2 linked regions of the Mus musculus genome follow. The protein of the gene in region 2 interacts with the protein of the main gene of each other region in a pairwise test. Links are inferred from orthologs where the notes say so. Each region holds a gene or a part of one and is shown on either strand. Other genes may lie near its edges. The genes, in order: Brk1 and Mrfap1.

The links.
Region 1: the proteins of Mrfap1 (region 2) and Brk1 interact in binary tests that used the Homo sapiens proteins (3 or more experiments, as listed by UniProt). The link is inferred for Mus musculus from reciprocal best matches to the Homo sapiens genes MRFAP1 and BRK1.

What each region holds. Positions count from the first base shown.
Region 1 is NC_000072.6:113,603,316-113,607,224, forward strand, and holds the start of Brk1 (protein BRICK1), read left to right. Parts: upstream 1-1,456; 5' UTR 1,457-1,463; coding exon 1,464-1,581; intron 1,582-3,909. UniProt on the Homo sapiens protein: Involved in regulation of actin and microtubule organization. Part of a WAVE complex that activates the Arp2/3 complex. As component of the WAVE1 complex, required for BDNF-NTRK2 endocytic trafficking and signaling from early endosomes.
Region 2 is NC_000071.6:36,794,300-36,797,896, forward strand, and holds Mrfap1 (MORF4 family-associated protein 1), read right to left. Parts: upstream 2,456-3,597; 5' UTR 2,295-2,455; coding exon 1,917-2,294; 3' UTR 1,904-1,916; intron 1,646-1,903; 3' UTR 568-1,645; downstream 1-567.

The sequences.
Region 1 (3,909 bases), on a different chromosome or scaffold from region 2:
ACTTACCATTTTGCTTCAGCCGGTCCATCATTGGGTATTAGCATTAAAAATGTATTTGGCAGCTTGGCGTGGTGGCGCATGCCAGCACTCGGGAGGCAGAGACAGGCGGATATCTGAGTTCGAGGCCAGCCTGGTCTACAAAGTGAGTTCTAGGACAGCCAGGGCTACACAGACAAACCCTGATTTGGAAAAAGAAAGAAAGAAAGAAAGAAAGAAAGAAAGAAAGAAAGAAAGAAAGAAAGAAAGAAAGAAAGAAAGAAAGAAAGAAAGAAAGAAAGAGAGAAAGAAAGAGAGAGAGAAAGAGAGAGAGAAAGAGAGAGAGAGAGAGAGAAAGAGAGAGAAAGAGAGAGAAAGAGAGAGAAAGAGAGAGAAAGAGAGAGAAAGAGAGAGAAAGAGAGAGAAAGAGAGAGAAAGAGAGAGAAAGAGAGAGAAAGAGAGAGAAAGAGAGAGAAAGAGAGAGAAAGAGAGAGAAAGAGAGAGAAAGAGAGAGAAAGAGAGAGAAAGAGAGAAAGAGAGAGAAAGAGAGAGAAAGAGAGAGAGAAAGAGAGAGAAAGAGAGAGAAAGAGAGAAAGAGAGAGAAAGAGAGAGAAAGAGAGAGAAAGAGAGAGAAAGAGAGAGAAAGAGAGAGAAAGAGAGAGAAAGAGAGAGAAAGAGAGAGAAAGAGAGAGAAGAGAAAGAAAGAAAGAAAAGTATTTTGCTCATTTGGTAAATATGGAGATTCAGAGTTGGTGGGACACCTCGAACAATAAAGACACTGAAGCTGATGATCTGAGTGTTCAGTCCCACAAGATGGAAGGTGAGGAACCCACTCCTGCAAGTTGTCCTGTAACTTCCGCCCGCGTGTTGTGCCACGTAAGCGCTCACATATAATACGAATAAAATAATTTTAACCTGGCGGTGGTGGCCACATTTTTAATCTCAGCACTCCGGAGGGAAAGGCAGGCTGATCTCTGTGAGTTCGAGGCCAGCCTGGTCTACAGAGGGAGTACAAGGACAGCCAAGACTACACAGAGAGACCCTGTCTCGAAAAACAACAACAACAACAAATTTTAAAAGAAAACGAGAATGAACAGAGTTGTGACCCAAGCATGACAAGCATTCTGAATAAACGGGATTCGTGGACTGTGCCCATCACAGCTAACAAGGTGCAAGAGAGCTTGGAGCAACCCTTAGGCGGAGGTGGGAATGTGTGGGCGCCCCCTAACGACAAGATCCGCTAGTGGTCAGCGGGTGCTTGTAACCGGGGACAGGGTAGCTCTTAGTCTTCACATCGCGAGTGGAGGAATCTTGTTTACCCCAGCGTGGGAGCCAAGCTAGAGCGCAGGGATTAGAGTGCGCACGCGCGTCGCTCTGCCAGCCCTTTCTGGGGCTCGAACACTCGGGTACTGGCTGGCGGCGCAGGCGCGCTGGAGGCCTGTAGAGGTCGCGGCGCCTGCGCAGTCACTCTTCCTCAGGCGGCCGCCATGGCGGGACAAGAGGATCCGGTGCAGCGGGAGATTCACCAGGACTGGGCGAACCGGGAGTACATTGAGATCATCACCAGCAGCATCAAGAAAATCTCAGACTTTCTCAACTCTTTCGGTCAGCGGGCGAGCAGGGGAGGCTGGGAGGAGGGAGGCCTGGGAGGCGGCCGGCGGCGGGGAGGAGAGGCGCGCCGCCCTGGCTACTCGCTTCCTCTTTGGCTGCCCGCCGGCCCCAGTGCCCTCACCCCGAGCCTCACTGGGCCGTTTCCGAGGGTCTACCCTGCCCGTTGCCATGCCCCACTTGCGCTCGTCAGCACGCCCACTGTCCAGCCTCTTAGGCCCATCCATCATCCGCCCCGGTTTGCGCCGCGCTTCCGTGCCAGTCTTCACTTGGCAGGCAGTGCGCAGCCGTGTCACGGTCACGGTCGCGCTTACTGTTGAGAGACTCCTGCTCGTTGTCCATCTCCTTCAGGAAGAAGTCCGAACCCCTTTGATGTCATGCCTTCTATTGCTCCCGTTTAACCACTCCCGGCAGGTTCATTCATCCCCGGCTCGATTTGGTGCTAGTGCTGAGGGTTGTAAGGGATGGGGCCCGCTCGGGCCTTGGGAATGGCTTTTCTAGCCCTGTATCTGCTTCATGGTAGGTGCTCTGGATGCTTCTGTCTGGCTCCTCGGATTTTACAGGGCAGATGGTTTCAGCAGAGTCCACTTTTCCAAAAAACTATTCCTAGGTGTGGCCGGCTAGTGACAGTCTTGATTTCTTTCTGCGTGCGTTCCTAGCCTTCTGGACTGAAAACCTGTTACAGACTTCTTATGGTCTCCGGAAGGGTTCTTTCAGGGACCTTCTTACACAATACAAGACGTGCAGATGGCATCCAGTGATCTTTTTCACTAGAGTGCTTTGGTTCTACTAATTAGCAACTTTCAGCATCTTGGGGAGAAAGTGCTGTATTTTGAAAAAAATTAAAGTGAATCGTATATTTTCTAGCTAAAGACCCGATGAGTCCTAAGTAGTATGATAGAAGGTAACCGAACAGTAGCTTCAATTACGGGGTGTAGTTCAGGGATTGGGCTCCTGAGTGGTAAGCACAAGACCCCGGCATCCCCCACTTCTTAGAGTTTTCTTTCTCTCTCTCCTTTTTTTTCCTCCTTTTTTTGTGTTTTGTTTTGTTTTTTGGTTGGTTGGGGGTTTTTTGTTTTGTTTTGTTTTTGTTTTTTGAGAAAAGAGAACAAAAAGGAAATTGGAAATGCATCATTAAGGGGCAGGGGATGCCTAGTCTGTAGAGTATTGGCCTAGCACCCACACACCATGCCTTTAATAGCAGCACTCAGGATGCAGAGGCAGGAGGACCAGGAGGAACTCCCAAGTCATCTGCTTCATAGAGAGTTTTGAGTCCAGCCTGGTAGAGCAAAGCAAACATCAGCAGGCGTAATTGGTTCTTACACAGGTCTGCTGGCAGTGAGGAACATGGTAACCCTTCCCTGTTATATGTGGTGGCTCATACCTGTACTCTTAGCACTGGAGAGACAAGGGCTGGAAGAGTGCTATGCATTTGAGGCCAGCCTGGTCCTCAGAACAGCCACAGAAATGAGCCATTTTCTAGGGCTCGAGAGATTGCTCAGCTGTTAAAAGCAGTTCCAAAGAACCCAGGTACAAATCCCAGGACCCACGTTGCAGTTCACAGTGGTCCATAGCTCTAGTCCCAGGGGATATGACACACACACATAAAGGGAGACTATCAGTGTAAATAATAATACTAATCCATTTTCTGTATGTAGAGTTCTTTCAGGCTGTTGAGATGGCTTGGCAGGTAAAGGCCACCAACCTGAATACAATCCTCAGGGTCCACAAGGTGAAAGGAGAGAACCAGCTGTCACAAGTTGTCTTCTGGCCCCACATAGTGCATGCCCACACCCACCTTCAAATACAATAAATAAGAGATCTTAATCTGTCCATCCATGCTCCATGTCCCCTACTCCATTTTGCATTTTGGTTTTGAGTCTTGTAAATTGGTACAACTCATGGTTCTCCTTCCTCAACTATTTTTTCCCTCCCCCTCCTGAGATTATTACTGTCTGTCGCTCTGTGCTGGCCTGCAGCTCTACAGATCAGGATGTCCTCTAGTTTGTGATGGCCCTTTGGCTCTGCTTCCCAAGTGCTGGATTAGAAGTGTCCTTACGCACCCTCACGAATTCTCTCTCTCCCCCACCCTTCTCTCTCTGCCGCCACCTTCCTTGCCCCCCCCCCCAATAAACCTCTTACACGTGGGGAAAAAGAAGTATGCTCACAAAGTGTGTAGGATTCTGTATAATCTTACATGGATTTTCTTAACAGGGAGCGGAGGTTAAAGATACCAACTAATGAGAGGCCAGCATAAATGTATATGTCAGTGGTACAGCTTCACGCCCGTAAGTTTCTGTGGAGGTTATAGTAGAGAACTGTAGT
Region 2 (3,597 bases):
CTCATCCAAGGCCAAGCTTATCAAAACAACACTCTGGAAAGCCTTCCTTACCCCTGCCATGTTCTAAGGCAATTGCATCTGTTAAGAGCCCAGAAGCTGGTGCCTCAGCAGTACCAAGAAGGAACCATACACGTGAGGTTCAATGGTCACTCCCGGATAGGAACATGCAGAGCAGTCAGAAGTTAGGCTGGGCTGCAGTTCCCTCAGCAGACACAAGAATTCTAAGATGTCTAGGGTGGGGTGTCCTTAAAAGGGAGGGCCCTAGACTTTGGCCACCTAGGAATGAGATGATGGCCACACAGGGTCAATCCCAGCAGTTGGGGACCCAGCCCTTCTTGTCTGAAGGGAGTCAATACATTGTTGCTGTTGTATCATCAAGACTGGTAAAGAACAGGAGTCAAGTAAAAGGCAAGTAAAAGGACTGGTCTCAGAGGCTAAGACTGTGGACTTGCTACTAGGAATCAAGACTTTCCTATTCTCACGTTTCCTACAGCAGTCGAAATCCCCTTCTGCTTACCCAGACTCCCAAAACTGGAGAATGTTCATTTAAACTAAACACAGGCCACTGAAGGAAGACTTCACTTAATATTTCTTAGTAACTCTCCGGGCTGATCTTTTCAAGCAAACGAATACTTTTATTAACATGTAAGATTTTGTTTTCAACATGGTAAGGGTTTTGACCTCAAACGCTTATCAGGTCTGCCACTCATACATTTATAGTTCGACTACATATGAACCTTTAAGACGCCTCTTCTTTTAAGTTTTGGGTCCATTGCAGGTTTTCCTTCCTAGGCCACACAGGGTATTGCAAGGATCTTTCATTTTATGGCCAGGATCTCCTCGAATATATGGGGATACCAACTTGTACAGACTAACAAGACCTCTTCTCCCATCCGAGGTTCCATTTCTTTTAGAAATGAGTTAGGCTGTCCCAACAAACTCACCAGGCAGGTTACAATAGATAGTGTAGCACATAAAATTTAAATTTTGCACAAAATACATCTCTCCTCCTTTGGTCTCACACAGAAATTAAAGTCCCCCAATAGAAACAATACTATCCTCCGACCCTTCTCCCAGGTCATCAGTCCTAGCCATGTAAGGCCCATCCACTGTCCCGGATGAAGTCTGGTCTCTTCTGCCATTGCTGCATGGAGTCTTCGAGAATTAACACAGCTCCTTCAGAACTTTCAGAGGCGGTGAGCTTCAACTCTGAGTCTCAAGTGTCACAGAGATTCAAAGTTCAGGGAGCTATCAGGTCACCCAAGAAAGAGCAAAGCACCTCAAAATTTAGGAACAACAACCAAAGGCCAGGAATGAACGTTATTCAACTGCCACAGGGCTTACAATCTAGGCCCTAATTCCCGTATGTGAGCGCATTTTCCAAATCAAAGTTATTTCCCCCAAACAAACAAAAAAAAGGAACCACCGAATAATCAAAAACTCATATCGAGGTCGTCAACCGCAGACCATAGCAGAAACGTAGTGTCAGTGAGAAACAGAGGGAAGACAGAGGGGAAAAGAAAAAAAAATAAGAAGGAGATAAAAAAAAAAAAAAAGGAAAACAAAAGGCTCTCTGGTTTCAGCTTCTCCAGGGTGTCATGTCAGCCAATCGCCATCACTCAACCAGAATCCATTGGCTGGAAACCTAAGGCACGGGCGGGAGAGATTCATCACCGAGAGGTTAATCACGCTGTCCGGACAGCAAAGCAAATACCCGGCCCCCTTCTGGACGCTGTCTCACTTAGGGCCCCATGCTCTCCAGCACCATCTGGAAACTTCCACGGTCTCCCCGCCGACGATTTGCTATTACTCCTTCCCCAGGGGGGGCCTAGTTTACTCCCGAGGCGACAAGCCAGCCTCCTCCCCCACCGTCGCCCACGCCCCGCCAGGCTCCCGCCCTTACCGCGGCCGGCTCCTCACGAAGACTCGCTCTTCTCTATCCGCCGCACGAGCTGCACCAGCATCTCGGCCATCTTCGCCATCTCCTGCGCCTTCTCGTCGGCCTTCTCCGCCCGGGGGCCGCGGGGCTCGGCGCCGCCGGCACCCTGCAGGTGGTTGAGGGCGCTCTCCTCGGAGGCCTCGACCTGCGTCTTGATCTGGATCAGCATATTGTCCATCTCCCACAGCTTGCCCCGGTTGCGCGCCGGCGCGCGCCCGCGCTCGCGCGTCAGCGACGCGATGTCCTCGCGCATCTCGTGGATGACGGGCAGCAGAAACTGCTCGAAGTCCTCCTCGGGCTCCAGCACCTCCACCTCCTCGGGCTCCGCCAGCTCCACCGCGTCCAGGGGCCGCATCGCCGCTGCTCTGCTCGTCTGCACGACCCTCACGGACGGAGCTCGGGCCGAGTCCTCAAAACTTCCGCCGCCGGTCCAACTTTCCGCCTCGGAGAAGCCACGGAGACGAGTGACTGCCGAGCGGGCGAGCGACGAACAAAATGGAGTCTCAACCGTCAACCAGCGCTCGGCGCTTTGCGACCCCTTTCACGACACCTCCGCGCCCCCTCTTTACGGCCGCGCTGAAAGGGGCGGGCGCGCTCGCGTCCACGAAGGGGCGGGGCGAGCGCCTCTGCGGCCGCGCGCTGACATTAGGTCGGCCTCCCTTTCGCAGCTTTTGCAGCTGCTCTGGGTGATGCGAAGTTCGTCCCTTCCTGTATCTTATTCCGATTTTATTTATTTACTTTTTGAAACAGGACCTCACGCTGTAGCCAAGGCTGGCCTGGAACTCAATTATTTGGCTTAAACTGATCTTGAACTCTAGGCAGTCCTCTTGCCGTAGCTTCCCGTGTCGCAGGTGTGAGCCACCGCACCCGACAAGTTTACTTTTAAAAAAGAAAAAGAGCCCGCCTTTAATTCCAGCACCTGGGAGGTAGAGGCGGCAGGCAGACCGATCCTTGAGTTTGAGGTCATCCTGGTGTACATAGTGAGTTCAGTACATAGACCCTGTTTCAAAACAAATCAAAACCACCAAACAAACAACAACAACAACAACAAAAACAGTTTTTCGAAACTGGGGAAAGAGGAATCTTGGAAAGCCATGTGTGGACAGTCATCCTGCTCATAGCTCCGCCCCTTTGGTTAGTTTAAGTGAATTATCATATCTTGATTGACGGAGTGGCTGGGTGTGTTTTTACCTGACAGAGCTCCTGGCTTCCTAAGGTGAAACTATTGTCTGATGCTTTCTGAGGCCCCAGGTCACATTCAGTTGGTGATCACTTGCTGTGGAAAGGACAGAAGTTGGCTCAGACGACTACATTTGCGTAACTGTTACTCAACCAACACTGAACTTTAAGGGGAGATGCCGAATTCTTAGTCTACGATCAGACAGTACTTTCTCAGGAATCTAAACTATGTATCTCACTGGTTTTCTAACCACAAGTCGTGAAACCATTTTGCAAAAACCAACCATAGGCATATATAAAGTGCATATCTTTAATTGGACTCTACACTCAGTGGCTTTTGTTTAAAAATAATCCAGGGTAAGAACATGAATAAGCAAATGGTTCAGAGGACAATGGGATACTGTTGCACACTGCATCAGGATACTTAGACTGCAGAACCCTGACATGGGGAAAGGCTGGTATACATTGATCCCAGGAAA